Linked DNA regions of Astyanax mexicanus. The protein of the gene in region 1 interacts with the protein of each later gene in a pairwise test. Links are inferred from orthologs where the notes say so. Each region holds a gene or a part of one and is shown on either strand. Other genes may lie near its edges. The genes, in order: lemd3 and smad9.

The links.
Region 2: the proteins of lemd3 (region 1) and smad9 interact in binary tests that used the Homo sapiens proteins (3 or more experiments, as listed by UniProt). The link is inferred for Astyanax mexicanus from reciprocal best matches to the Homo sapiens genes LEMD3 and SMAD9.

Annotation. Positions count from the first base shown.
Region 1 is NC_064409.1:10,895,421-10,908,470, reverse strand, and holds the start of lemd3 (inner nuclear membrane protein Man1), read left to right. Parts: upstream 1-5,573; 5' UTR 5,574-5,621; coding exon 5,622-7,050; intron 7,051-10,097; coding exon 10,098-10,138; intron 10,139-10,481; coding exon 10,482-10,551; intron 10,552-11,755; coding exon 11,756-11,832; intron 11,833-12,089; coding exon 12,090-12,169; intron 12,170-12,333; coding exon 12,334-12,479; intron 12,480-12,626; coding exon 12,627-12,728; intron 12,729-13,050. Other genes in the region: wif1 (wnt inhibitory factor 1), read right to left, coding at 3,620-3,762, 3,936-4,077.
Region 2 is NC_064427.1:39,537,335-39,550,384, reverse strand, and holds the start of smad9 (mothers against decapentaplegic homolog 9), read left to right. Parts: upstream 1-7,465; 5' UTR 7,466-7,569; intron 7,570-9,303; exon of another isoform or gene 9,304-9,667; intron 9,668-10,836; 5' UTR 10,837-11,006; coding exon 11,007-11,418; intron 11,419-11,781; coding exon 11,782-12,036; intron 12,037-12,230; coding exon 12,231-12,341; intron 12,342-12,580; coding exon 12,581-12,802; intron 12,803-13,050. Other genes in the region: alg5 (dolichyl-phosphate beta-glucosyltransferase), read left to right, coding at 203-288, 1,406-1,521. UniProt on the Homo sapiens protein: Transcriptional modulator activated by BMP (bone morphogenetic proteins) type 1 receptor kinase. SMAD9 is a receptor-regulated SMAD (R-SMAD).

The DNA.
Region 1 (13,050 bases):
CAGAAAGTGAGAAATGGCTGATATAACAAAAATGATACAGAGCTTTCAGACCTCAATTAATGCAAAGAAAACAAGTTCATATTCATAAAGTTTTCAGAAATCAATATTTGGTGGAATAACCCTGTTTTTTAATCACAGTTTTCATGCATCTTGACATGTTCTCCTCCACCAGTCTTACACACTGCTTTTGGATAACTTTGTGCCTTTACTCCTGGTGCAGTTCAGCTTGGTTTGATGGCTTGTGATCACCCATCTTCCTCTTGATTATATTCCAGAGGTATAATTTGGTAAATTTGGTAAAATCAGAGCTGTATGTGTAAACAGAATGGCGCACACAATGTAAATCCAAAAAGTGATTTTAACATTATTGGTAGTGCTGATTAAATTACTGTTTTAATGCAACTTTCAAACTGACATTGTGCATCATTACATATAGAACCTGTCTGAGGGATCTCAGTAGATACGCTTGTGATTTAGTCAGGAACCTGTAGAACTTTAATGTGGCAGTGATTTTAATATTTAATAAATAAATTTCCTAAAATATAAGAAGGTTATTTTTGGACTTTCTTCAATATAAAAGCTGCTGAACGGTTGAAAGAATTGCAATAGAAAATCTCTCATATGTTTAATTAGATTGTTGAGATTTTATTTTAATTTATTTGATTTTTTCAATATTACCCAGCCCTATTTTGTGGTGTATCAATCAAAACCTGTTGAACCCGTAACCACAGCTTTAACTTATTTTTTCATTTAACCTGCATACATATCTTGTCATCTACATTTAAATAAATGAGTATGCAACAGGGCACTTTAACAATGAGCAAAGTTTTTAAACAAAAGTAAGTTGAGTTACATGAGTATTTTTGTTCATTTTAACATTTAAATTAGATCTTTAAGTTGCATCAACCATTTAATATTTTAAATGTGTCACAGGCACACTCAGAGTTATGAACTGCATTGATGTATATGGATCACATCTATGACTTTTCAGTTGTTTCCACAATCAATATTTAGTACCTTCAGTACATTTTACTTAAACTTAATGTTTTATACAACTAAAAGTGTCTTAGGTCTCTGAACCTGTTCAGTTTGAATGTGTACAGACTATGGACCTGTTGAATGCCCTGGTCTACTGGTAGACCCCCCCCCCCCAAAAAAAAAAAAATCAGTAGTCGAGAAATGAAATATATATGATACTAGCATTCTAAAAGTCAAGATCCCCCCCCTCCCAGTTGAACGTAGGTGCCAATCAACCCAATACACTTAGCCAGGAGAAAGTTTTGTGACCAAACTGTGAAGCCCCCAACAATACCCCCAACAACAGCAACAGTAGGGATTACCTAATGCATGCCATGTCTGTTTATGTACTTACTTCTATAACCCATTGTGGAATCATACAGGAATAGTAATGTATCTGCTATGACATAGTGATCATATTGAATTAATCATTTTTCAGCTTTGAAGTTCCTTTTAAAGTTCAAAGAAACCAGACAGTGCCTGGGTCTACACTGTAATCAGATATGGTGTAATTATAATTGCTCAAATTTGCAGAAATGAGACGTATTAGAAGCTAATAGATATTTAAGAAGGAGCTGCTGCTCTGTTTAAACACTCATTCAGCCAGTAAACTCACATAATGATGAAGTTTCAGAGCCCACAGACCATGTGTAAAGGAGGAGTAGGGAGGTCATTTTAGCCACCGCTTATTACCAAACCAGTGATGGATAGCAATGAGGATCAAACATGCACAGTGCCCCTTCCAAATAGAGTTTTGGCCTTAAAACATGTCCTGAGGCCTGTGTGTGTGTATATGTGTGAGTGTGTGTGTGTGAGAGAGAGAGAGAGAGAGAGAGAGAGAGAGAGAGTGTGTGTATGTGAGAGAGAGAGAGTGAGAAAGAGTGGAGCATGTTTCAGTGGGCTGATGGCCCAGATGTTTGGCACATGCATGCAGAGGCTTTGATCCGAGGAGGCAGCTCCACCACACCAGCACGTAAAATACCGCAGGACATGGACATTACAATAGCACCAGAAACAGGGGAGCTCAGAGCCGCCTTCAACAGGTCACCGCTCAGCCTTCAGCACCTCATACCATATTACTAAAGATAAGCTCGCACACTGAGGAATCACTACAGGCAACACACACACACATACATATACATAAATATATATTATTTGTGTTATTTATTACAATTGTATTATTTTTTTATCATTTATTTGTAACTAAATCCAAAGTATAAATGTCCTTGTATTATTTTAGACCAGTTCAAATATATTAGACCAATTAAAGAACATGTATAATTAATTTCATGAAATTAAATGTAATTTACATGATTTACAAGTTGCAAATAATCTACAGGAAAATAATATCTAAAAAAAAAAGTTTCCTGGCAGCAGTGGAGCCAGATAATATCTATATAAAAACTGTCATTTTCTGTAAGTTACGGACCGGTGAGTTACCTTTTTTTTTACATACTTTTTCTGGCACCACTGCTGCCAAAAAAATTAAAAAAAAAATTTACAACAGAAATTTTAAAACCTATGTACTTCACAATCACTCGCTGTGACTTTCTGGAAGCAGGGGTGATGGAAATTTTATTATTACTTTTTTACATATTATTTTCCTGCACCCTGCTGCCAGAATTTCTTTTATGCATTTTTCCAATATTATTTATTGTATATATATTATATATACTACAGGAAGATGGATGATCACAAGCCATCAAACCAAGCTGAACTGCTTGAAATTTTGCACCAAAAGTGGCATAACATTATCCAAAAGCAGTGTGTAAGGCTGGTGGAGGAGAATATGCCAAGATGTATGAAAACTGTGCTTTAAAAACAGGGATATTCCACTAAATATTGATTTCTGAACTCTAAAACTTTATGAATATGAACTTGTTTTCTTTGCATTATTTGAGGTCTGAAAGCTCTGTATCGTTTCTGTTTTTTGAGCAATTTTTCATTTTCTACAAATAAATGCTCTAAATGACAATATTTTTTTATTTATAATTTGGGAGACATGTTGTCCATAGTTTATAAAATAAAAAAAAAACAATGTTTTTACTCAAACATTTACATTTAATCAGGGACACTGATTCAGAAAGTAAACGGTCTCTTATTTTTTTCAAGAGTTGTATATACAACTGTAATTATGTGTACATTTACAGAAAATGTTGCTGTTTTTTTATTAATAAATACATTCTTGATCAAATAGTCAAATAAAAGCTGTTAGAAGACGGCTAATTCATGTATTCAATGTATAATATTTCGTTCTTTGTAAATCACAACATCACAAGATTTTTTTTTACAGGGAAATCCTATAAACCTATTAAAACATACTAAAACAAAGTAAGCAAAGCCTATAAAAACTTTTTTTTCAGTGTAGTTTCTTAATGTGAGCATGCTTTAAAAAACATATTGAGCTTTACTCAAAGAGCTGCAATCACCACAGCTGCACTTCAGTAAGAGCCCTGTGACTATAATGTTTGCACAGGTGTTATAACAGCTCCATACCAAAGATACATTCTTTTTACATTCACTTTCTAAACATATTATAACACTGCTATTACAGATCTAAACAGACTGACCTCCATAATACCTCTCAATATATTCTCCATACCTGATCATCAGTGACCTGCCAGGTGAAGTTCACGTGGTGGATGTGGACAGGTATGGCGGGCATGCGCTGCTGGGCTTTTTTAAAGTCGTGTGTGAACGGGGCCATTTGTCCTTCTGACACAATCAAGATATCCTCCTCGAAACCTGTGAAAGAAAACATGCCAGAACTCAGAGCTCCTCTCTCTCTTTTTCCTCCTTAAAGCCCAGCAATATCAACCTGCTTACATGATCAAAAAATAAGTTTTAGAGTTTGAAACCCCCTCAGAAGATCCAGGACCTCCACACTGCCCCACAGCATCACACACAGAACTATTTACCTATCAGTATCCTGGCCTGGTTGGCATCAATCCACATGTACAGGCTCCCCTGCTCGGGGGCAGCTCCGGCTGATAAAGCTCCCAAAAGTAGAAAAAAGTAAGTTTTCAGGCAAGACTGGAGAGCAGGAGACCCCCGAGCCATTTCGAACGACCCCTCTGGATGCTGAGTGAAGAGCCGGGTTTAACGTGTCCCTCCTCGCGCTGAAATCCCGGTTTAAATGTATCGTCACCGCCTCTGGGATTGACAGACTGAAATGTCTGCGCTGCTTCGCAGGGCTACTTGTAGACGCCGGGACCTGCAGTTCCGAGCGCCCGCCACACGGTGGCGTGATGTGCCAGAACAGGACCACAACATTATTATCAATCTGCTGTTATAATAATAATAATAATAATAATAATAATAATAATAATAATAATAATAATAATAATAATAATAATAATAATAATAATACAGAGTTTAAATGTTATTATTCCGAGATTAAAAGTCACACATTACAACTAATTTCTATAAAGGTACAATAATAATAATAATAATAATAATAATAATAATAATAATAATAATAATAATAATAATAATAACAATAATTCCTGATTTTTGCACCAGGAGTGGCATAAAGTTATCCAAAAGCAGTGTGTAAGAGGACACAAAATGCATGAAAATTGTAATTAAAAAACAGCATTACTCCACCAAATATTGATTTCTGAACTCTTACACCTGAATATGAACTCTTTTCTTTGCATTATTTGAGCCTGCGTCTGCATCTTTTTGCTACTTCAACCATTTCTCATTTTCTGCAAATAATATTGGAATTTAGGAGAAATGTTGTCCTTAGTTTATAGAATAAAAGAGCAATGTTCATTTTACCCAAACATATACCTATAAATAGCAAAATCAGATAAACTGAATTAGAAACTGAAGTGGTCTCTTATTTTTTACAGAGCTGTACATAAGAAATATTTTGTGAACACTTTGAGACCATTCATTAAAATATAAATTAATTTCATGAAAAAACTAAGTTTAATTGTCATTAATATTAATAATTTGTCATCATCTTAGAATAAAATGTATAAAATAACAGTACAAAATCCTAAGTGAGGGAATATTGGTCCATGAATTAAGATATTGAACTAAATTACTTAAATAAACAATAACATTTAGTTTAAAAATCCTTGACATAATATTTTTTTATTAACATGGATCATTTCATATGTTCTGTACATAACTTACACATAAAAGCACTGGAAATATAATAAACTTAATCTTAATCCACTTAAAACCCTATTCTATTAGTAGTTGTTTTTTCAGAGCTGTATGGCAAATTAAAGGGAAAAATTAAGATGATCTTAAATGTGTGTCCGATAGTGTAAAAAAAAACTACATAACTAATTATTCTGTGTGAGGGTATTTTAGTCTATGACTTAAATTATACATATTTTTTGCATCTTAACTGTGCTAGTTGGTGAAATAACACGGCTAAAATATATGTATATATTCTTATTATTTTTTTATTGAATACAGGGCTTTATTTGTGTGTTTTGTAGTGGGTTTTGTGGTGATTTTAGTCTGTGGTGGTGATGTAAACGTTAATCTGCTGATCATTCCGCTGCTGAACTTCATCTGCCCGACTTTACTGGCTGCTCTTGCGTCACTTCCTGCAGCGCGTCCTGTGCGAGTTTGGTGTGAAGATGGCGGCGGCGCAGCTAACGGACGAGGAGCTTTTCTCCGAGTTAAAACAGCTGGGCTTCACTCCCGGCCCGGTTACCGAGAACACGCGGCCTGTGTACTTGAAGAAGCTGAAGAAACTACGCGAGGAGCAACAGCAGCAGCGGTCTAGGGGCAGTAAGGGGCGCAGCAGTGTCGGTGGCGGCGGTAGCAGCAGCAGCTTTAGCAGCAGCATCAACAACAGCGGCGGCGGTAACGGCCACCCAGCGGCGGGAGCTGCGGCCGTGCGCGCCAGGCCGGCTGGGGGCCGCCAGGTGCTGAATGCGAAGCGGTCGGAGCGGCCGGGAAAGTTTGTTTTGGGCTTTAGCTCGGACGAGTCGGACGCGGAGCTTCCCCAGCACAAAGCAGGCCTGAATCACAGCGGCTCTAGGAGAGAGCGGGGCTCCGGGCTGGGGCTGCAGCCGCTGAGGCCTCCCCAGGAAAGTGGCGCCGGAGTCGCCCACAGAAAGTCGGCTCTCGGGGTTCTGGAGGGTCGGAAAAGTAGCCTCGTGGCGGCGTCTGCGTGGTGGGCAGACCGGGGTAAGGCGAGCTTAGGGGAGTCCCGCTCTAACCTGGCGTGGGATGAGGATTACACCCAGCTGGGGAAGGAGAACAGCTTGGAGGAGAAGCAGAAGGAGACCGAGAGGAGCAGTCGGGCTCTGAACGGGAGCAGGACACAGCCTTACACAGCGCTCAGTGGAAGCAGCAGCAGTAAGCTGGCGGGGGATTACTCAGACACAGACGAAGAGGAGGAAGAAGAAGAGGAGGAGGAGGAGGAGTTGGAGGACCGTGAACGCCAACGCGAACGTCGTCTGCTGCCCAGGAGAAGCGTATCCAAAGCCTCCCCGTCTCCGGCCAAAAGAAGAGGCAGGGAGCCGGATGAGGAAGACGACCAGGAGGAGGACGGGAGGTCCGCGGGATCCGGGAGATCCAACGCAAAGCGCGATGAGTTCGATCTGAACCGCATTTACACGAGGCCCGCTCGCTTCAGCTCCGGCATCATGGGCGAGAATGGCGGGGACATTGACAGCAGCAGCAGCAGCCCCAGGAACCACGTCGACGGCGGGCAGGGCGCGACCACCAGCATAGGCAGCAGCAGCTCCTCGTTTAGCCTCGGCCTCAGACCTCGATTCTCCTCGTCGTACAACAGCCTGTCAACGACTTATCGACCCAACCATTCGAACCACACCGGCTCGAACCACAGCTACGGGCAGGCTTCCACCAAACGCAAGCAGCCAGCCCCCGAGGACGAGCTCCTGGAGCAGTTCCGGAGGGAGGAGGCGTCTGGCACCGGCGGCTTCAGCGCACACTACCTGTCCATGTTCCTCCTGACCGCTGCCTGCCTCTTCTTCGTGCTGCTTGGCCTCATGTACCTGAGAATGAGGGGTACTGGGTCCACAGACGAGGTCGTCAGTAAGTATTAAAAAAATCCTGATTAGATAATTGGTTTGAGAACAGTGAGTTTGTTTGATGTGCAGACAGATGTGTTGTAGTAGTGACTGAGATTCATTCACAGTTCTTTTCTGAGAATGTTTCCCAGACACAGTTTAAGGCCAATGCGTATTGAAGATCTTAGTCTTATGCTGAACTGAATGGAACTGGTGGGTGAAATTAATTTAGCATCTGACGTACTAGTCTTCTTTGTAGGGCTGCTACGATTATTCAGTAAAATCGCCAATGTCGATAATCAAAATTGCGTTACACAAACTAAGCGGGACAGAAATGCAGTGGAATCACTCATACAGTTTACACTCATAATGATCTGTCACTCCAAAAAGTGCCTAAACACAGTTACAATTAGATTGCATGTTTACTCATTAAATATCAGAATATTTAATATTTAAACATAATCTGGGCATTTAAAGAGCACCTTTACACACGTTTAACAGTTTACTTCATTTTAAAAGGGATGGAAATAATTGTTGACTAATCAGGAAAAAAATAGTCCACAATTTAGCCAATTACCAAAATAATAGTTAATTGCAACCCAACTTCTGGACTGGAACACCAACATTGCAGGTCAATCCATTGCAAGAATGATCAGTGACAACTATAAGGTGCTACACAAAAAAATTTAGTAACATCATGCTTTGAGTTAAGAAGATTATGTTAACTGAGATAATTTGCAAGCTTTAATATTTTTCACCAAATCTTTTCAGTAGTCACAAAATGTCAACAGTCCAACCTGATCTTGATATTATTAATGCGCTCTGTGTAACAAAAATTGCTTTAAATTAAATTAAATTGGATCGAAATAATCTGCTTGTGATAAAGTGTGAGCAGTGTACATTAGAACTTCCTTTTGAATCAGGGAAGTTATAATATGACGTGTGGGTTATGTTCCTTTTTTGACTTTTGTACATTATGCAATGTGACTATTACACATGTGCACATTGGGATTGTCTCAAAACAATGTATTGTGCAGCCCTAGTAAGATTTAAGTAACTTTCATTGCTTTATTTCAGAGATGCATTCACTGATACTCTACTTCAAACATGTTTGTTTGTTAATGCTTGGTTTAGCTCCTTGAGTTTTCTTTAGACTGCTTAAATAAGCATAGTTGTTAGTCAAAATGATTAACCAGTGTTTGTGTTCTCATGCATAAGACTGTTATGTGGTCAGTGCTCATAAGACCCATGTATGATGTTTAAATGAATGTCTCATTTTGTTTAGAGCTTTCAATGGAAAAAAAATGAAACTGCTGAAATTGTCTAGGACTGAACCTGACCTCGAAAGCCTTTAAATGACTGTGTTTGCTATCCCAGTCAGACGTGTCAGACACACACGTTACCACTTGTCACCCTGAGCTGTTCGCACCCTCAGACAGGAAACAGAATATGCCACTTTGGCCTGCATGAAGGGGTGGCATTACCATCAGAACAGGAGCGAAACACCCCTTAAGGCAGTGGAATGTGTGTGTTCCACCTCTCCATCTGCCTTGTGGTATGACTCGCGCTCATTGTAGGTGCCCTGTGTTCACCTACCACAGTGCTGCAGTAATGAAATGTTCAAAAGAAGTAGAATGAATCAGTAAGTCAGTGTAGTATAATTGTGTGTTATCAGCTCTGCTTGATCTCTGAGCATACCAGCTTTATACTTGAGTCATTCCTTGGGTCAGCTTTAGGTTTTCTCAGCAGAGGAAGTGCTGTGAACTTCAGTTTAGGACAGTTCTGTTAGCTACAAAAAAAAGTTCCTCTGTGAAGTTGCTGCTGCTGCCTGCAGTTAGACTGGAAAATAACAGTCTTTAGCCTTGCTAGTATGTGGAAATTCCTCACAGCTAATGGCCATATAGTTTACATTTAGGTTAAGGTATGTTTAGTCTTCTAAACATGAGGGAAGGATGTGAACCAGTACCCACACCATTGTGATAAGCTGGAGGCAGGCTTGACACTGCAGCAGTTGTAGTTTTGATGTTTAACGGTGTAGTAGTAGGCCTAACGTTTTTTCTGTCTAGTGCCGCTATGGCAGAAGGAGCCAGTGGGTGTATTACGAAAGCCTGAGTGTGTGGTGTGCCCATGGAGGCTCTCGGGGAGGGAGCTTTGCGTGAAGAGCGAGTGGCAGACATCTAGGTCACAGACGAACTAAAGCGGCCTAATTGTTCGTCTCTCAAGAGACCTGAGAAGTCTGTGGCCAAAGCTAAAGTGATTGACTGCTGGCTGGCTGCCTGACTGCGTCCAGTGCCACTTACATCAGATGTTTGCTGTATGGTGTGCGTATTATTGGGAATGGTTGTGTAGCGATGCAGGGGTCCTCCTGTTATTTTCTTACTCCCAGTTTCTTTTCTGATACATTCAGGCAGGACATTAGTGGATACTACCATACAATTTCGATACTCGTGGATTTCAGGGTGTATGTGATGTTTTAGGCACGCACCAATATGAGAATTGGAGCCATTTCTGATTGACTTTTATACATTTATCTGCCAGTCTGTATGTTTACGCAAGTGTTTAAAAGGTTTAAAAACTGAAGTTGTTTCCATAAAGTTAAAACTGCAGATAAAGGTGTAAATAAATAATTATCATTTGAACAATTTTATCTAGTGTTACAATGTCTCAGAAGGACCAAATGAAACACACAAATTGAACTTTTGTTCAGCTCAAATTGTCTCTTTCCCCTACTATTTATTATACAGAATACTCAGTGCCCTGTGTTTTTTGTCTTGACCCCATCCCCAGTCTTTCAGAGAACTAGCATGTCTGCAGGGAGATCTGTCTGTACTATTTCGTGGCTGATGAGAGGAATGAAACCAATTATGTTCTCTAGCAGACAGTAGGACAAGGGTGAGACACTCAAATGCTCCCTGCCACTGCATGTGTCTGCCCTCAACAGACATGACTGGGAAATGCAGTCCTGCCTTTGCTTGGAATGTAATTCTCTCACCAGGCTAAGCTGACTTTAAAAAGCTTATAGCTATTACTGCTGTAAAAGCATCCGCTCTTTTTTTCTTTTTTCTTTTGCAGTTAAGACCCACCCATTCGGTGCAGATTTTGACAACGCATATGTAAGTACCTAGTGTCTTTGTGCAATCTTTGCTGGTTATCTTTATAAAAATCTGTAATCTTTTTTTTTCTCTTCAAAAAATAGATTTTAAAATGAATTTACATTAGAACAACTAAAAATGTTTTGCAGTGTTTTGAGGTGCTAAACAAACAATTTGTTTGCTAGAAATATGATACATTAATTTTTTTGGTTTGCTTTGATTGAAAGCTGGTATGTATAGCATCTTAATAATGTCAGACTAATGGGCTCACTTAGTTAGTAACAATAGAATATCCTGGTAGAACTGGTTGAGTCGCCAGAAATATGGTATCTAACACAACAGTGCTTTGTTTTTTTCCTTCTAGACCAACAGCGAGCGAGACCTCATTCTCAGCCTGTTGCTTCACCTGCACAATCATCTGTCTGATATTGCAGGTAATTTAAGATTTCAAATGCATCCTGTGGGAGTTACTGTAAATATGAGCCTGTTTACACCTGGAATTAACATTTTGTTTTTTGGTGATCGGGACATGTTCAGGATTTACTTGTCTGCATGTAAAGTTGGGTATATTCAAGGATCTTCGGTTTGAGTTCAGGATGCTTTACCATTAGCAGGCAGAGTGGGAAGATGGCGCTCTTCTAATGTGATGTTGGTCGGCACAGGCGTCCGTTAGCTTGTATTGCTAGAGGCTGAGCTGAGACACTGTGCCTCTTCCCCAGTGCTCTGGCTACCCAGTGATGCTACGTCAGCTACAGTTCAAAAATAGCTGGAGGATTACTTTATAGGCCTTAGTATGCAAGGGCTAGACATCACCCTCCTATTGTACTTTTATGCATATTTACCAGCAATATTAAAGAGTTTGATCTTTTGCAGTCTAAATAGACTTCTGTTTTCTGATTGAGTTTTTTTTGGCAGTGTTAAAACTGTTAAACATGTTATGTTCACCATCTAGAGCATTTCAAACAAAAACTTTGAAGGAGGGAAAATTAAAGAACATGCTTTAAGCCCACCTTCCAATCTTGCATCCTATAAATACAATTTTTCTAAATACAATCTTTTTCACGTCTTCATGACTGTCTTCCACCCTTCACAATCATTTTTAACTCACTCATATCTCTCCTTCTTGGCTCCACTAATCAGAGATGGGGTAATGGCTTCGGAGCAGACACCACCGTAACTCCATCACAAAGGTCTTCTGAGTTCTCTCCATCCTGTTCAGTCTAATTACAAATCATGTGACTGATGGCGTGGTCCGAAATAGCAAACAGGAAGTAAACATAAATGATGTGCATTTTGGTGTGCTTTTTGTATGTAAAATTGAATCTACTCTGTTTTTTTCAGGTAGTATTCTGATTCAAAAAGCCCAATGCCAGGTGTAAATAAGTCTTTTGATTCTAGTTTCAAATACTAATAAGCATCACTTAGGGTGTTTTCACTCCGGACCGTGGTTTAGTAGAACCAAACCTAGACCACCTACTGGTGGGACCAAACTCTTGTCCTTTGGTCTGGTCTGTGGTTTTGGCCCCTTTTACTCCTGCTGCTTTGGTTCGGGTCCAAACTGAAAAGTCAGAAGGTCCGGACAAAACGTGGTAGGTGTCAAAGCTGCGCTTAAAATATTTCATTTTTCATTTATTTCAGGGGAACATGACTGCCGAGATCTAAACCTGCCGTTAAACAGGAGTGTCTCCATCTCTGAGGCTGCTGAGTATCTAAAGGTAGGTTTAGTTTGGAATATGTAATGTGTTGGACTGTGTTTTAACATTCTGGTAATGGTTTTCTCATTTCCTTCCTACTAAGTGGCTTTTAAATTATTTGAGTGTATGAAAGTGAGCTGTCTGTTCTGATTTAAAACATATCCTCACTCACGTCTGCTTTAGTTACTTCAATTACTTCAATTACTGTGTTGTGTAGCTTTGCAGGGTTTGTAAGAATGTATTGAGTTGCTTAAAAATATTATATTGTCTTCTTGTAGCTCCGAAATAAGGACTATGAAGATTGGATTCACATTTCTCTTGAGTGGGTTATTAAATCTGGAGAAACTGCTGGAATAAGGTAACAAACAACACATGAAATAGTTGTGTCTGTGTTTTATTTTGTGTGTTTCTTAGATTTCTGGAAGATTTTAAATTCAGTTATGAAATGCAAATGCACAGTAACATCTGTGGATCAGCTGTGTAAAAACCTGTTGTATTCATTCATGGTGGCTGGGCTTTCAGGTTGATTGCAGCTGACCCTGCGCAAGCAGTGGAGGAAGTGTCTGATATCTCCCGTCTGGAGTCCACCCACCCACGCTTGTCTTTTGTCTGCCGTTTCCGACGAGCCTTCTTCACAGTGATTTACAGAGTTGTCCTCGTCCTCGCTGGTATGTCTCACAGCACTTTTGCCAATATTAAATTAAGGGTTTGCATGATGGTGCCCCTTAGTGGAACAGGAGGTAACTTAATATAAAACAGTATTATATGACTTCATTCATTGGTCAATCTTTGCTTTTCTTTCTGTATCCTAACAGCCGTTGGTGGTTTTTGGGGCTTGGTGTATTACATGAAATACCGCTGGAGAAGAGAGGAGGAAGAGACCAGGCAGATGTATGATATGGTGGAGAGAATTATAGGTATGGACACCTGTATTTTGTTCATGAAGCTTTTCAGAGTAGAAGTACTGATGTAAGATGAGATTTCTTTCTTGTTACCCTGTGTTCACACTTGTAGACCTTAAGCCTGTTGAGCATACAATCCTCTATAGATACCAACAAAGTCTACTACATTTTTTCCACGCTTTATATTTTTAAAACTGTCTCTCTGTTTGTGCAAAGATGCCTCATATAAACTAAACAAAAAAGAAGCAGTGGCTATTAGCCTCTTTTTCACATTGTTTAGTATTAGAACAAAAGTTAGGGAGGAACCAAACTTGGAGAAAAGAGTCTGGGGACCTTG
Region 2 (13,050 bases), on another chromosome or scaffold:
CAGGATCGCCAACATGGAGGAAGATTTTAGCTTCATTTTCATTGAATGAATGGAGACAGAGACACGGCGTCCATCTTTTTTACAGTCTCTGACTGAAATGGACTATCAGGATTTGAAACCTTCCATTACCTGATCATCCTTGAGACATTTAAAAGCTCATTGAAATATTTTACTCACTTTCTCTTCTCTTTCACTTTCTCAGGGCGTTTGATGTGGAGCTCCTGTACGTAGCTCAGTGCTTACAAATACCTATAGCTGAAGTGGCGGTCAACTGGACAGAGATTGAAGGTTAGAGATTAAACAGTTACTTTTACTTAAAGTAATTTTATGTAATTCAGTACAAGTATTATGTATTGTGCTTCCTTAGATACTGTAGATACAGTGTTGCTTGAAAGATTGTGAAAATACAAAATGTTATATTTCTGTATAAATATGACCTTAAGCATCATCAGATTTTCATACAAATCCTGAAAGTAGGTAAAGAGAACCCAGGTAAACAAAATGAGACAAAATATTATACTTGGTAATTTATTTATTGAGGAAAATGATCCAATATTACATATTTGTGAGTGGCAAGCTTATTAACCTTTGCATTCAGTTAACCCCCCCAATATTCTTCTTGAAACATTCTTTGGCAGAACAACTTGTTTGCTTAGGGTCATTGTCTTGCTGCATGACCCATCTACTCCTGAGATTCAGTACATAAACAGATGTCCTGACATTTAGATGTTATTCAAAATTCATTGTTTCATCAATGAAGGCAAGCCAAATTGGAGCACAATTAATTGCACATTGCACCAGTAAGAGCAGAGTGTGAAGGTTCAATTAGCAGGGTAAGAGCACAGTTCTGCTCTAAATATTGCAATGCACACAACATTATGGGAGACATACCAGAGTTCAAAAGAGGACAAATTGTTGGTGCACGTCTTGCTGGAGCATCTGTGACCAAGACAGCAAGAGTCACGGTATCCAGGGTAATGTCAGCATACCACCAAGAAGGACCAACCACATCCAACAGGATTAACTGTGGACGCTGTAAGAGGAAGCTATCTGAAAGGGATGTTCGGGTGCTAACCCGGATTGTATCCAAAAAACATAAAACCACGGCTGATCAAATCACGCAGAATTCAATGTGCACCTCAACTCTCCTGTTTCCACCAGAACCCCTAACCCCTGTAAATAACAAAGTTTAATATTTTTGCCTATTCTTATTTATGCAGAAGTATAGAACATTCTGAAAGGTTCACAAGATTTCAAGCATCACTGTATATTAGTAAATGTTTTGCATTTTATGTCATTTGATATTTAATTTATAGCATTTTTCTGTTTTATTTTTTGTTTTCATTATGTTGTTTAGCTGAATGCCCTATAATCCTTATTAAAACTTGTTTATTGCTCTTTTTAGGGTCAAAGCTGGTGCCGTTTTGGAGCTGGCTACAGATGGGTCGAGATCTAGTCTTCATTAGACTACGTTACATCACTGGTGCCTGGAAACTGGAGTCCCCCAAAAAAACCCAGTAGCCTTTGCTGCAGTTGGCTTGTGCATGCACATGCAGTGGATCATAGAACACCCATGCCATCCCCACAGCTGGCAGACAGCGGCACAGTTTGCATCATAGTGACCAAGAATACCACGCTTTGTGTCAAACTGTGTATTAATCTGATATTTTTATTATGTCACGATTTTGCCCAGGTGTACTGTAATTTTTTCCATACATTTTTGCTGGGAGGGTCCTGAATGATGTGTATAGATTTTCATTTAAAGAACACTTAAAAGTGTTCAGCCAAATAAATGAACATTTAATATATATTTTTTGATGTTGTGTGCTTTCTCTCCCTCATATATCTCTTATTTAAGCTGCAGTTGCCTTAAATGTCCTGTAAATACTGATGATCTACTGTTATTTAAGGTGGCATACCCTGGCTGGTTATGGGCGGGACCAATAACAGACCGCCCGCTCCGCTCTGCAGCCTGTGACCTCGAGGCAGCCCTCAGAGGCGGGGTTATTTAAATGAGTAGGCTGCTCTCCACAGTCTTTCTCCCTCCTCTGGTCTCTACTGCGCAGACACGGGTTTCAGGATCGCCAACATGGAGGAAGATTTTGGCTTCATTTTCATTGAATGAATGGGAACAGCGACACGGCGTCCATCTTTTTTACAGTCTCTGGTGTTAACTAGTTGTCCTTGTAGAACACACTATGCCATCCAATCTACAGCATAGAATAGGGTGACCAAACGTCCGTATTTCCCGGGACATGTCCGTATTTCACGTCCTGTCCCGGGCGTCCTGTTTTTTTTTTTTTTTCAGAAAGTGAGGAAATGTCCTGGTTTTTAAATTACCTTGATTGGACCAGAGAGCAGTAGACAGCGTGACAGTCAGCGTGGAGCCCTCCCTCTCTTCCAGTGCAGTATCACAGTAAGAGCACACACACAATGCTATCTTAATCATTCTTACTTAGAATTTGTACCTTATTTTAAGTAATTTGAACTCAAATTAAGCACAATCAAGCAGCAATCAAGTTATTCTGATTCTTGTGTCCAAAAACAGTGACTTGATTTAGGCCAGGGGTCTCAAAGTACCGGCCCGCGACGAGGTTTCATGCGGCCCCTCATGGGTTAACAAAATAAGCATACATCTGGCCCCCAATTCAATTTAATTATTTATGCTTTATTATGTTTGTTTTTATATTTTATCTTAACTTGTATTTTGGTGTGTGTGTGTGTTTTTAGTTTTTTTTGCTTACGCTGCGTTGCCTGCTTTAATAGTCTTCAGTAGCCTTCAACAGTCTAACCTTGCAGCCGTGGTGTGTCCATTAAACTCCGTAGTTATAAACATCCTGAGGTTAGCAGCGCGCTAACTGACCTGTTTATAATGTAATCCGAGCAGTGACACTGTGACGGCTGCTCAAAAGTGCTGCTGTTAGCTGCTTGGGCTGAAATATGAACTGTAGAGAGCTGTATTATCCGGTTAGTGGGGTTATTTTATTTCATACACAGAAGAACTTAAAACTTTTAAAAACGCTCCAGACTGGCTCAGCTGAGCCCTGTAGCCCGTGGCTGGGCTGTAGCTCTGACTCAGTAAAGACTGCGGGCTTGTGCTGCTGCTGCTCCCACTAGTGGTTGGATGAGGAACTGCTAAATCTGAGGAAATGCTAAATCTGTCACATGTTCTTAATTTTTGATTTTATATTTATTAAGCCTTATTTCAGTATCAAACGTTTTGATCAAAGTTAATATAACTTGTATTTTATGTAATTTCTACGGTGGCCGAGAAAGCCCAACGCAGTGCAAATTGAAAAGCGCTGCAAAAGCACAAAACACATCCATCAAAATTACAACACAGGCGCAGCAAATAGAAAAACGCGCTGCAACTAGAAAAACGCGCTGCAAATAGAACCACAACACAACGGAAGTGAGTCACAACACAACGGAATTTTCCCGGGGGACCTTAAAAGATACTGTACCAGCTAAGCTGCGTCTTCAGTAACGTCTCGGACTTCACTATGTGTACAAAGGACAATAAGTGGCAAACAAGGCGTTTTGTGAAGCAGAACTTTTAATAATATGCACACAACCGTGGTAATCACAGGTAATAAACATAACTTACTTTTCAGAAGCTTGTTTGCCACTTATTGTCCTTTGTATACAGCTGGTACAGCATCTTTTAAGGTCCCCCGGGAAAATTCCGTTGTGTTGTGACTCACTTCCGTTGTGTTGTGGTTCTATTTGCAGCGCGTTTTTCTATTTGCAGCGCGTTTTTCTTTTTGCAGCGCGTTTTTCTATTTGCTGCGCCTGTGTTGTAATTTTGATGGATGTGTTTTGTGCTTTTGCAGCGCTTTTCAATTTGCACTGCGCTGGGCTTTCTCGGCCACCGTAAATTTCTATTCACTTGACTAGTTTGGTTCTTGATTGATGGAGTTTTTGGATTTCATAACATGACAAATTAAAAGGATTTATGTTAATAGAGCAACAAGCAAACATTTTTTCCATGCAACTGTAATATTTGATTGAATAAATAATATATTGAGAGTTATTTAACATTAAGGAGTAATTACATTCATTTTATATTACATCTGGTTACATTTTCTTATATTTATAAGTTACACCTGGCCCTCAGAGAACAGCCAATATGCCAATGTGGCCCTCGGCCAAAATGAGTTTGACACCCCTGATTTAGGCGATACTTCACTCATTTTGAGACTTTGCCATTGCTTTTTGTAAGAAATCTTACTACGAAAATTTTGCTTACCCCATTGGCAGATTTTTTGCTTAATATACATATATTTGTCTTAATTTGCATATATTTTGTCTAGTTTTTGCAAATGGATTTTTAGCAGTGTATGAAGCTGGTGAGAAAGCCTGCCTGACTTACTCTAGTGTGATCTGTACTCACAGTCCAGCACTGTGCAGCTCGAGAACACCAAAATGGGCAGGTCTGCCATTGGAGCCCCAATCTCTTCATACGTGAAAACTGGTTCACACTAAGAAGGTGACAGTGGCTTGCAAAAGTATTCATACCTCTTGAACGTTTTTCTCATTGTGTCACCGCCTAAATGTATAAGCGTGTTGGGGCGTAACCACTGCTGCAACATTACAGATGTGGTGATGAAATTCACGTACATGAATGAGCGTAATTCTAAGTTCAGTCATTCATGGGTTAATGATCTTGGTTTCCACTGATTGGTGTTATGTTATTTTTGTTCTCAACTAGTTTCATCATTAATTTATTAGGATACAGTGTGTGATTTAAGTGATTTATTATTTGGAGCAGTGTATATGTATGTAAAGTTTTATGCGTTTGGCGTGTACTATTTTTACTTTCAATAAAACAAGGAATGCTGTTTACTTATTACCACCAGTCTGCTCTGCACCCTGGGGAACAGCATCCTGCTTTCTCCCCCTCTTCTCTCTCTTTCTGTCCCCTCCACTCTCTTTCTCTCTCCCACACTATCTCTTTCTTCCTCTCCCGATCTTGTTCTGTCTTTCTCTCACACTCTGTTTTTTTCTCCTACTTGCTCCCTGTTTCTGTCTTTCTCTCACACTCTCTTTTTCTTCCACTGTTTTTTTTTCTCTCTCTCTCGATTCGTCTTTCTCTCCCACTCTCTCTCTGTCTTTCTTTTTCACTCTCTCTCTCTTTTAGAAAGAAAGACAGAGGAAGAGACATAAAAGAGGGAGTGGGAGAGAAAGACAGAAAGAGAGAGTGACCCACTCTTTCTCTCCCACTCTCTCTTTCTGTTTTTCTCTTCCACTTTTTTTGTCTCTCCCACTCTTGTTCTGTCTTTCTTTCGCTCCTGCTCTCTCTTTCGTCTTTCTCTCCCACTCCCTCTTTTATGTCTCTTCCTCTGTCTTTCTTTCTAAAAGAGAGAGAGAGTGAAAAAGAAAGACAGAGAGAGAGTGGGAGAGAAAGACGAATCGAGAGAGAGAAAAAAACAGTGGAAGAAAAAGAGAGTGTGAGAGAAAGACAGAAACAGGGAGCAAGTAGGAGAAAAAAAACAGTGTGAGAGAAAGACAGAACAAGATCGGGTCTTTCTCTCTCTCCTTCTGTCTCTCCCGTCTCTCTTTCTGTCTCTCTCCCACTCTTATTCTGTCTCCTTCTTTCTCTCCCGCTCTCTGTCTTTCTCTCCCACTCTTATTCTGTCTTTCTCTCTCTCCTTCTGTCTCTCCCACTCTTGCTCTGTCTTTCTCTTTCTCCTTTTGTCTCTCCCGCTCTTTCTTTCTGTCTTTCTCTCACACTCTTGTTCTGTCTCCCTCTCACTCTTATTCTGTCTTTTCTCTCCCACTGTCTCTCTCTCTCTCAGCAGTTCTTGTGTAATCTATCTTTCTCTATGAGATGTAACCGGTATTATATTACTGTGTAAATAAACGCATTACTGTCTGAAAGGGTGAGTCTGAGCGCAGCTCGGTAAATGTCAGGGTTCAGGTTTTCAGGTCGTGTCTCGGTGCTGCTGTGGGTCCTGATTAATGGGGCCGTTGCACCTTGACGGGCGGCCGTTAGAGCCGTTAGAGCCGCTAACCGTCCCCGTATCATTTTTCATCCTCCTCTCCCGTGTTTGAGCGGTGGAGCAGCGTGTCGTGTCCGCTCTCGTTATTGGGAGCTGTGCTCGGTTCCCCTGCAGTTGCTGTAAACTGTGAAAATGTCAAACTTCTAGACTCTCTGTCGCCATCCAGGCTTGCGTCATTAACTAGTCTGGTCACTGCGCGCACACGAAATCGAAACGTATCCATCCGCAATGAGGAGCGCTCCGCAAAATAGATCCATCGATAAAACTCCTGGCACCCCGCCAAGTTGTGTTTTTTGTTATTTAATTCCCTGCAGTGAATGACTGTGATATAACTGCAGAGACTCTCCATACAGTAAATATAAAAGTATATAGTTACCTGGTTAATTAACTAGAACTGGGTTATATTTTATATTTATTTAGAGTTAGTTTTATCCATCCGCTTAACTCTACATGATGCTATCCTTTTTGAACAGAGTATCAGTATTTACGGATCTAACACGGGCTCATCATAAACAACCGCTTTAAAACAGACTGACAAGCAAAAATGGCAATCAAGGTCCTGAAAAGTGTAAAAATCCTGTGCCGGGATTTCGTTCCAGCTGCCTGGGCGGCTCTGCTGCAGCTCGGCTGTTTACGCGCCACTGCGGAGCCGCCCGGGCAGCTGGAACGAAATCCAGGCGGAGGATTTTTACTTTCTGGACCTGGATTTACCACATATGCTGGCAGGTGTAGCATTAAGTATCATGCTGATGGTATTTTTGACTTTGAACCTTTTAAATTTATTTAAAAAGTCAAAAATTAACGTTATTTTTTTTGCTGCATTACCTATTTTAATTTAATTTTGATAAAAAACAACAACATTTAAACAACCTTTATTTAACATTCCCTATCAGGCATCAGTTAGTCTTGAAATTCTGGCATTGAAACAATTATCAATTTCAAAGGCTTTAAATGGGCCTTTAGAAACTAACAATGCTTTCAGGCGACAGGTTATCCCTTCATAATACTAATACTACTAAAAATAATAATTACAATAATAATCCTATAGCATGTGTTGTGTTGTTGCAAGATACAAAGGCTTTTAACAAAATATATATGTATTAACTAACTTAAATTAACTAAAGTTCATGTATTTATTTGTGTATTTATTTATTTGTAAATCTATTTTTTAAATTAAAATGTAATTGATTAGACATACTTTTAATATATGGGCCTACACACTGCAAACAATGATACAAATAAACAAAAATACATTCCAATGGGACACACACACACACACACACACACACACACACACACACAGCTCGGCTCTTGCTGCAGACCAGAGACTGGGGATGAGCCCAGTGAGTCCAGTTGTATGTCAGGAGGCGCTGGGCCGGCTGGGAGAGTTCCAGCGCTGCGGATGAATCGTGCACGAAGGCGCGGAGGCTCCAGTCAGGCTGACGCCGGGCGCTGCTGCTGCCGTGGAGTCCAAACACGCGCTACACCTCCAATCAGAGCGAGGCTGGAGCGGCCAGGCAGAAAACACGGCGCCGCGCAGAGACAGCAGATAAAAACAGGAGAAAAGGTAAGAAAAACTGCAGCTCTCTCACACAAACACACACCTGCACTTTTATCAGCGTTTTAATAAGTTATTTTACTGAAACGCACTGTTATAATTACAGTCTAGTGTTTATTAACTCTAGTTTAACTTTCATGTGTATTATGATGCCTACTGCCCTCATATGGATAGAAAACCTATACTATAACTTAAATAACTATATTAGCTGTTAACTAACTAGATTTACCCAACTTGGTTAGCTAGCTCATTAATACACATTTTGTTTTTACACAGTTTGTTTTACTTAATTGCTCACGCCTCCTTTCAAATTTTATTAATTGCTAAATAATTACTTAGATATGTTCTTTATTTAGATCTCATTCTTTTGCAATACTGAGTCATTATTTCAATATATATTTTTTTCTTATGGAATGTAAAAAGGTACATTTTTCATTTTACACAGCTGTATTCTGTGTACATCCACTACTACTAGTAGCACTTTAATTTACACTGCATCTATCAGACTTTCCCATATTATACAGCATTCTGCCTCATGCACTTCCCACTCAACTCATTCCTTACCTGCACTTAGTCATAGTTATTCTGTCACCTACTGCACTATTTCCTCACTTCCACACACACACACACACACACACACACACACACACACTAGATATCTGCATAGTCTACATCTGTGCAATATTTGTCTATAGTGTCTATATGTTTATTGTTGGTATATTAAGTGAATTGTGTATAAAGCTATCTGTTTGTATTATTTTATATTTTAGTTTAATTTAATTTAATTTTATTTTATTATTCTTCTTGTAAATATTATTCTCTGCACATTGGTGGGAATCTGCACCTACGTTTTCCACTCACATGTACACCTGTACTCTGTGACGTGACAATAAAAATCTTGAATCTTGCACACAGATACTTAATAATGGGTTGTGTTTATGTTAGGTGGCGGGAATGTGCTTCCATAGGGTGAACTTGTTGCTGCTTTAAATGCTTCATCCTCTCACCAGAGGAGGTGTGGTGCTGCTGGAGGCTTCCTCTCCTCTCTGACTGGAGACGATGCTGCTGCTGCTGCTGCAGTCTGAGATACAATCCTGCTCTAGCTTTAGAGAACCTACAGAATTAACCTGTCTTTTGTAGTGCAGTGGTTAAAAGCAGAGTTATTCCAGCTGTGTGAGAGTATTGTACAGTATTATTGGAGTGTATTAGGGCTGCAGCTATCGGTTATTTTAGTAATCGAGTACTCTACTGAAAAATCGATTCGATTAATCGAGTAATCGGATAACGTATATTTGCTTGCCTTTCTTGTAAGTATTAAGTATAGGGAATAAATCAATAATAGAGGCATAAACATGGATTGGATAAGATCGCTGCATTCTTTTCCCACAAAGTCAGTGGACAGGGGATGTTTTCAGAAATACTTTAAGACCTGTGGAATAACTGTGACAACTAAAGTATTAAAAATGTTTTTTTTTTGTTTTGTTTATTTACGTTTAACACTACTCAGATCTAATTAGTTGACATAACTAAGACTAAATGACAATAATACAGTAAGTTCATGGCTGTGTATTACTTATGCCTTACTTTAACATGTATTTATTTATAAACTCCACAGCGCTGTGTTTACTGATTACATAAAGTCTGTATTAAATCGAGAAGTATTTATAATACTACACAGTGCTGTCGTTATGTTATTAAGCTACACTGATGGATGGTTATTGATTTGTTATAAGTTAAATTTACCTGCTCTCTCTCTTCACTCCAAAATCCTCCGTCTTCTCCACCTGCGTCCTGTGCCTGGGTGACGTAACGCTAAGCGCTGTTTCACATTAAAAGTCCTCGCTAAATTCCGTGCTTTGAGTTAAAATTAATTAAACGATTCCTCGAGGCACAGAAAATTAATCGATAATTTTTTTAATCGAGTTCCTCGATTTACTCGAGTAATCGTTTCACCCCTAGAGTGTTTTTGTAGGTGGAGCTGTGTGATAGTGTACACGGGGTGATTAAGCCTATCTGAGCTCTCAGACTGAGAGACGCCGGTTTCATAAGGAGACTCTGCCTGCGAGCTGAGTGCAGCTCCTTGTATTAACCTTTACTTTATTGTTTTTCTTTCTTTTCTTTCTCATTTTTCTCTCTTTCCTCTTCTCTTCTCTACTATGTATCTATTATTGTTTTAAAGGTAGAGGTGCATAGTAAACAGTAGCCTCATAACCAGTCCTCGTATAGTATTTCAGACTGCACTACAATGTCTATCTATCTATCTATCTGTCTGTCTGTCTGTCTGTCTATTTCATCACATTTCACCAGAAAGCAGTGACTCAATGTGTAGTGAAATTAATAATGTATTACTAATACCCAGCTGGCATTTTAACGTTGAATCAACGATGATTAACGTAGATGTTATGGTTGAATCAAGGTTGGATCAACTGTTGATTTTGAAAAGTGAATCAAGGTTGATATATCAAATGCAGGCATTGGGATTGGGAAGTATCTTAAAAAAATACCAGCTCATTCAGACTAATGGGGTCACCTTGCTAAGTAAATACAAAAAAATAAAGTAAAAATAAAGTAAAATAAAGTAAAAAAATCAATTGTTTAGTAACTTGATATAACATAGCTATTGTGACAGGCCAACTGACCAGTACACTTTAATGTTTAAAGTAAGATTTTTTCCTTTTGCACTTAAGCGCTAAATCTAACAATAGTGTTACCAGAAAGGCTTTTTTTAATTACTTGTTAGCTCAATAAAATGTTCTGTTGAACTATTCCTGTACTCCTCTCATAAATGTGGTATTTGGTTCACTGGCTGGTGAGATGAGTCAGGTGTGGAAGAAGAGAAAGCGCAGAAACATGAGAGGCCCTTCATTCTTTTCAGTTGATTCAGAATTTCCAAAGAGCCGTACAGACAGCTTTGCCCTGCTGTTCTCTGATTCCACTGACTGTGGATCAGGTTTATTTTGATTCATGGCTGAATGAACCGTCATTAGGTGTGTGGCAGTGAGGAGCTTTAGATCCTGCTGAGAGCAGAAGTCTCTCAGTGATGCTGCTGAAGTCTCAGCAGGGCTCTAATGAGGTTGCAGTGTAATGAGGAGAGGAGTATCGGATTCCAGCACAGAGAGAGATTTTCATAAATGCTTAGGCCAGTTCTCTAACCTATTGTTCTTGGAAATCACATTTATATTATATTTGAAGGGCAAACAGTGCCCGCCCTCTTTTAGTGCAGTCAGTTGTGGCTTCTCCTCTTAAATAACATGCTGCTTTATGTTTTTTCTCCAGCAAAGAAAAGGAGTAACATCCAGACTGTGGGTTTCCCAAAGAAAACATCCCCATTGAGGGGTTCACCGTCTAGTTCAGCTGGATCTTGGCTGAGAGGGATTAGAACAGAAAAACTCTTTAAGAGACTCTTTATTTTCTCCTCAGCCTCTGTGGTCCTGCACCTTGCACTGATGCACTCCACCACGTCCATCACCTCCCTGTTTTCTTTCACCAGCCCGGCGGTGAAGCGACTGCTGGGCTGGAAGCAGGGAGATGAGGAGGAGAAGTGGGCCGAGAAGGCTGTGGACTCTCTGGTGAAGAAACTGAAAAAGAAAAAAGGAGCAATGGAAGAACTGGAGAAGGCATTGAGTTGTCCCGGTCAGCCCAGCAAATGTGTGACCATCCCACGTTCACTAGACGGAAGGCTGCAGGTTTCCCACCGGAAGGGCCTGCCTCACGTCATCTACTGCCGGGTATGGCGCTGGCCGGACCTGCAATCACACCACGAGCTGAAAGCCCTGGACTGCTGCGAATTCCCATTTGGCTCCAAGCAGAAGGACATCTGTGTGAACCCGTACCATTACCGGCGTGTGGAGACACCAGGTACCTATATGAATCTGATTTCTTCAGTATCGTTTGTTAATGATTATGGCAGTTAATGGTTATTAGCATTTGCAGTACTAACAGACTGCAGTATGCAATAATAAAGCCAATAACAGTGCTACTCAAAGTGTGGCAAACTTAATTGTTCCATAAATCGTATTCCTGGCAGCATTGGTCTAGAGTATGTAATCATCTAAGCATCTTGCCTAGCATGAAGTAGAACTGTATGTGGCTAGATTACTAATATATGAAATTGTGCAGGCCTACACAATACAGATTTGTTTTATTATCTATCTAAATGAATCTATATTAATCTCTCTCTCCGGTCTGCCATCTTCTTTTGCCCCTCCCCACAATTCTCAGTTTTACCTCCAGTTCTGGTTCCTCGTCACAGCGAGTTCAACCCTCAGCACAGTTTACTCGCCAAGTTCCGCGACGCATCTCTTCACAACGAGCCGCTGATGCCGCAGAACGCCACTTTTCCTGACTCCTTCCCCCCTCTGCCCTGCACCTCTTTCTCCACCTCTCCGTCCAGCTCTCTGCAGTCCCCCACTGCACACAGCTACCCCAGCTCTCCCAGCAGCACAGGTGATCCCGCAAGCCCCTTTCACGTCACAGGTACCCAGTTCACTGTCAATAGCGCCTGTAGTAACATATCTATAAAATAGCAACACAATAGTGATTATAATTTTAGCTATAGGATCAAAATTGCATGTACAGATTATTTGATTATATATATATATATATTAAAATGATAAATATTACAGAAAAAGATCATAATATTTACTCTTTATTCTTTGGATTGAAATCAGCAGAGACCCCACCTCCGCCATACAGCATGATGGAGACCACTCCACCTGAGGACGTAAAGCCTGGAGAACCCTCCAATCCTCTGAAATTAACCCTGTCTACTCCACACAGAGGTACATCTTTTGTTTCTTAACTCTGATTTTGGAGTAGCCCTGCCCTGATACACCTGATTCAACTCTTTCAACTCTTAAAACTTTCATAATTAAACACTTTTAAAGCAGGGAGAGCAATAAATCGTGTGGAACAGAAGCTCCAACAGTACCAGTATGGAAAAACAATGGTCTAGCTTATTTACACAAGCAGTAATTTACAATGTGGTAGAATGACATAAGATTGATTTGTTTTTCTTCAGATTTGCGGCCAGTTTGTTACGAGGAGCCGCAACACTGGTGCTCTGTGGCTTACTATGAACTCAACAATCGAGTAGGTGAGACTTTCCACGCCTCATCCAGGAGCATCTTGGTGGATGGTTTCACAGACCCCTCCAACAACAAGAACCGCTTCTGTCTGGGACTGCTCTCCAACGTCAACCGCAACTCCACCATCGAGCACACCCGGAGGCACATAGGCAAAGGTGAGTCTGTTGTTTTGAGTTATTAGTCTGGGACAGCGTCATTGAGTATCAAACATTAACAGCTGAATTGTTAACATAGGTTTAAGGGGATACCACATAGTTCACTACACTTTATTTATGTTGTTCTCCTCTCTCAATCTTTCTGGACACCTCAGTGTAGGAAACATTAAGATATTGAGCAGAAATAATTATGCTAACTTGCAGATTGGACAAAATCCACACAAATGGTAAAGAACCATGTGTGGATG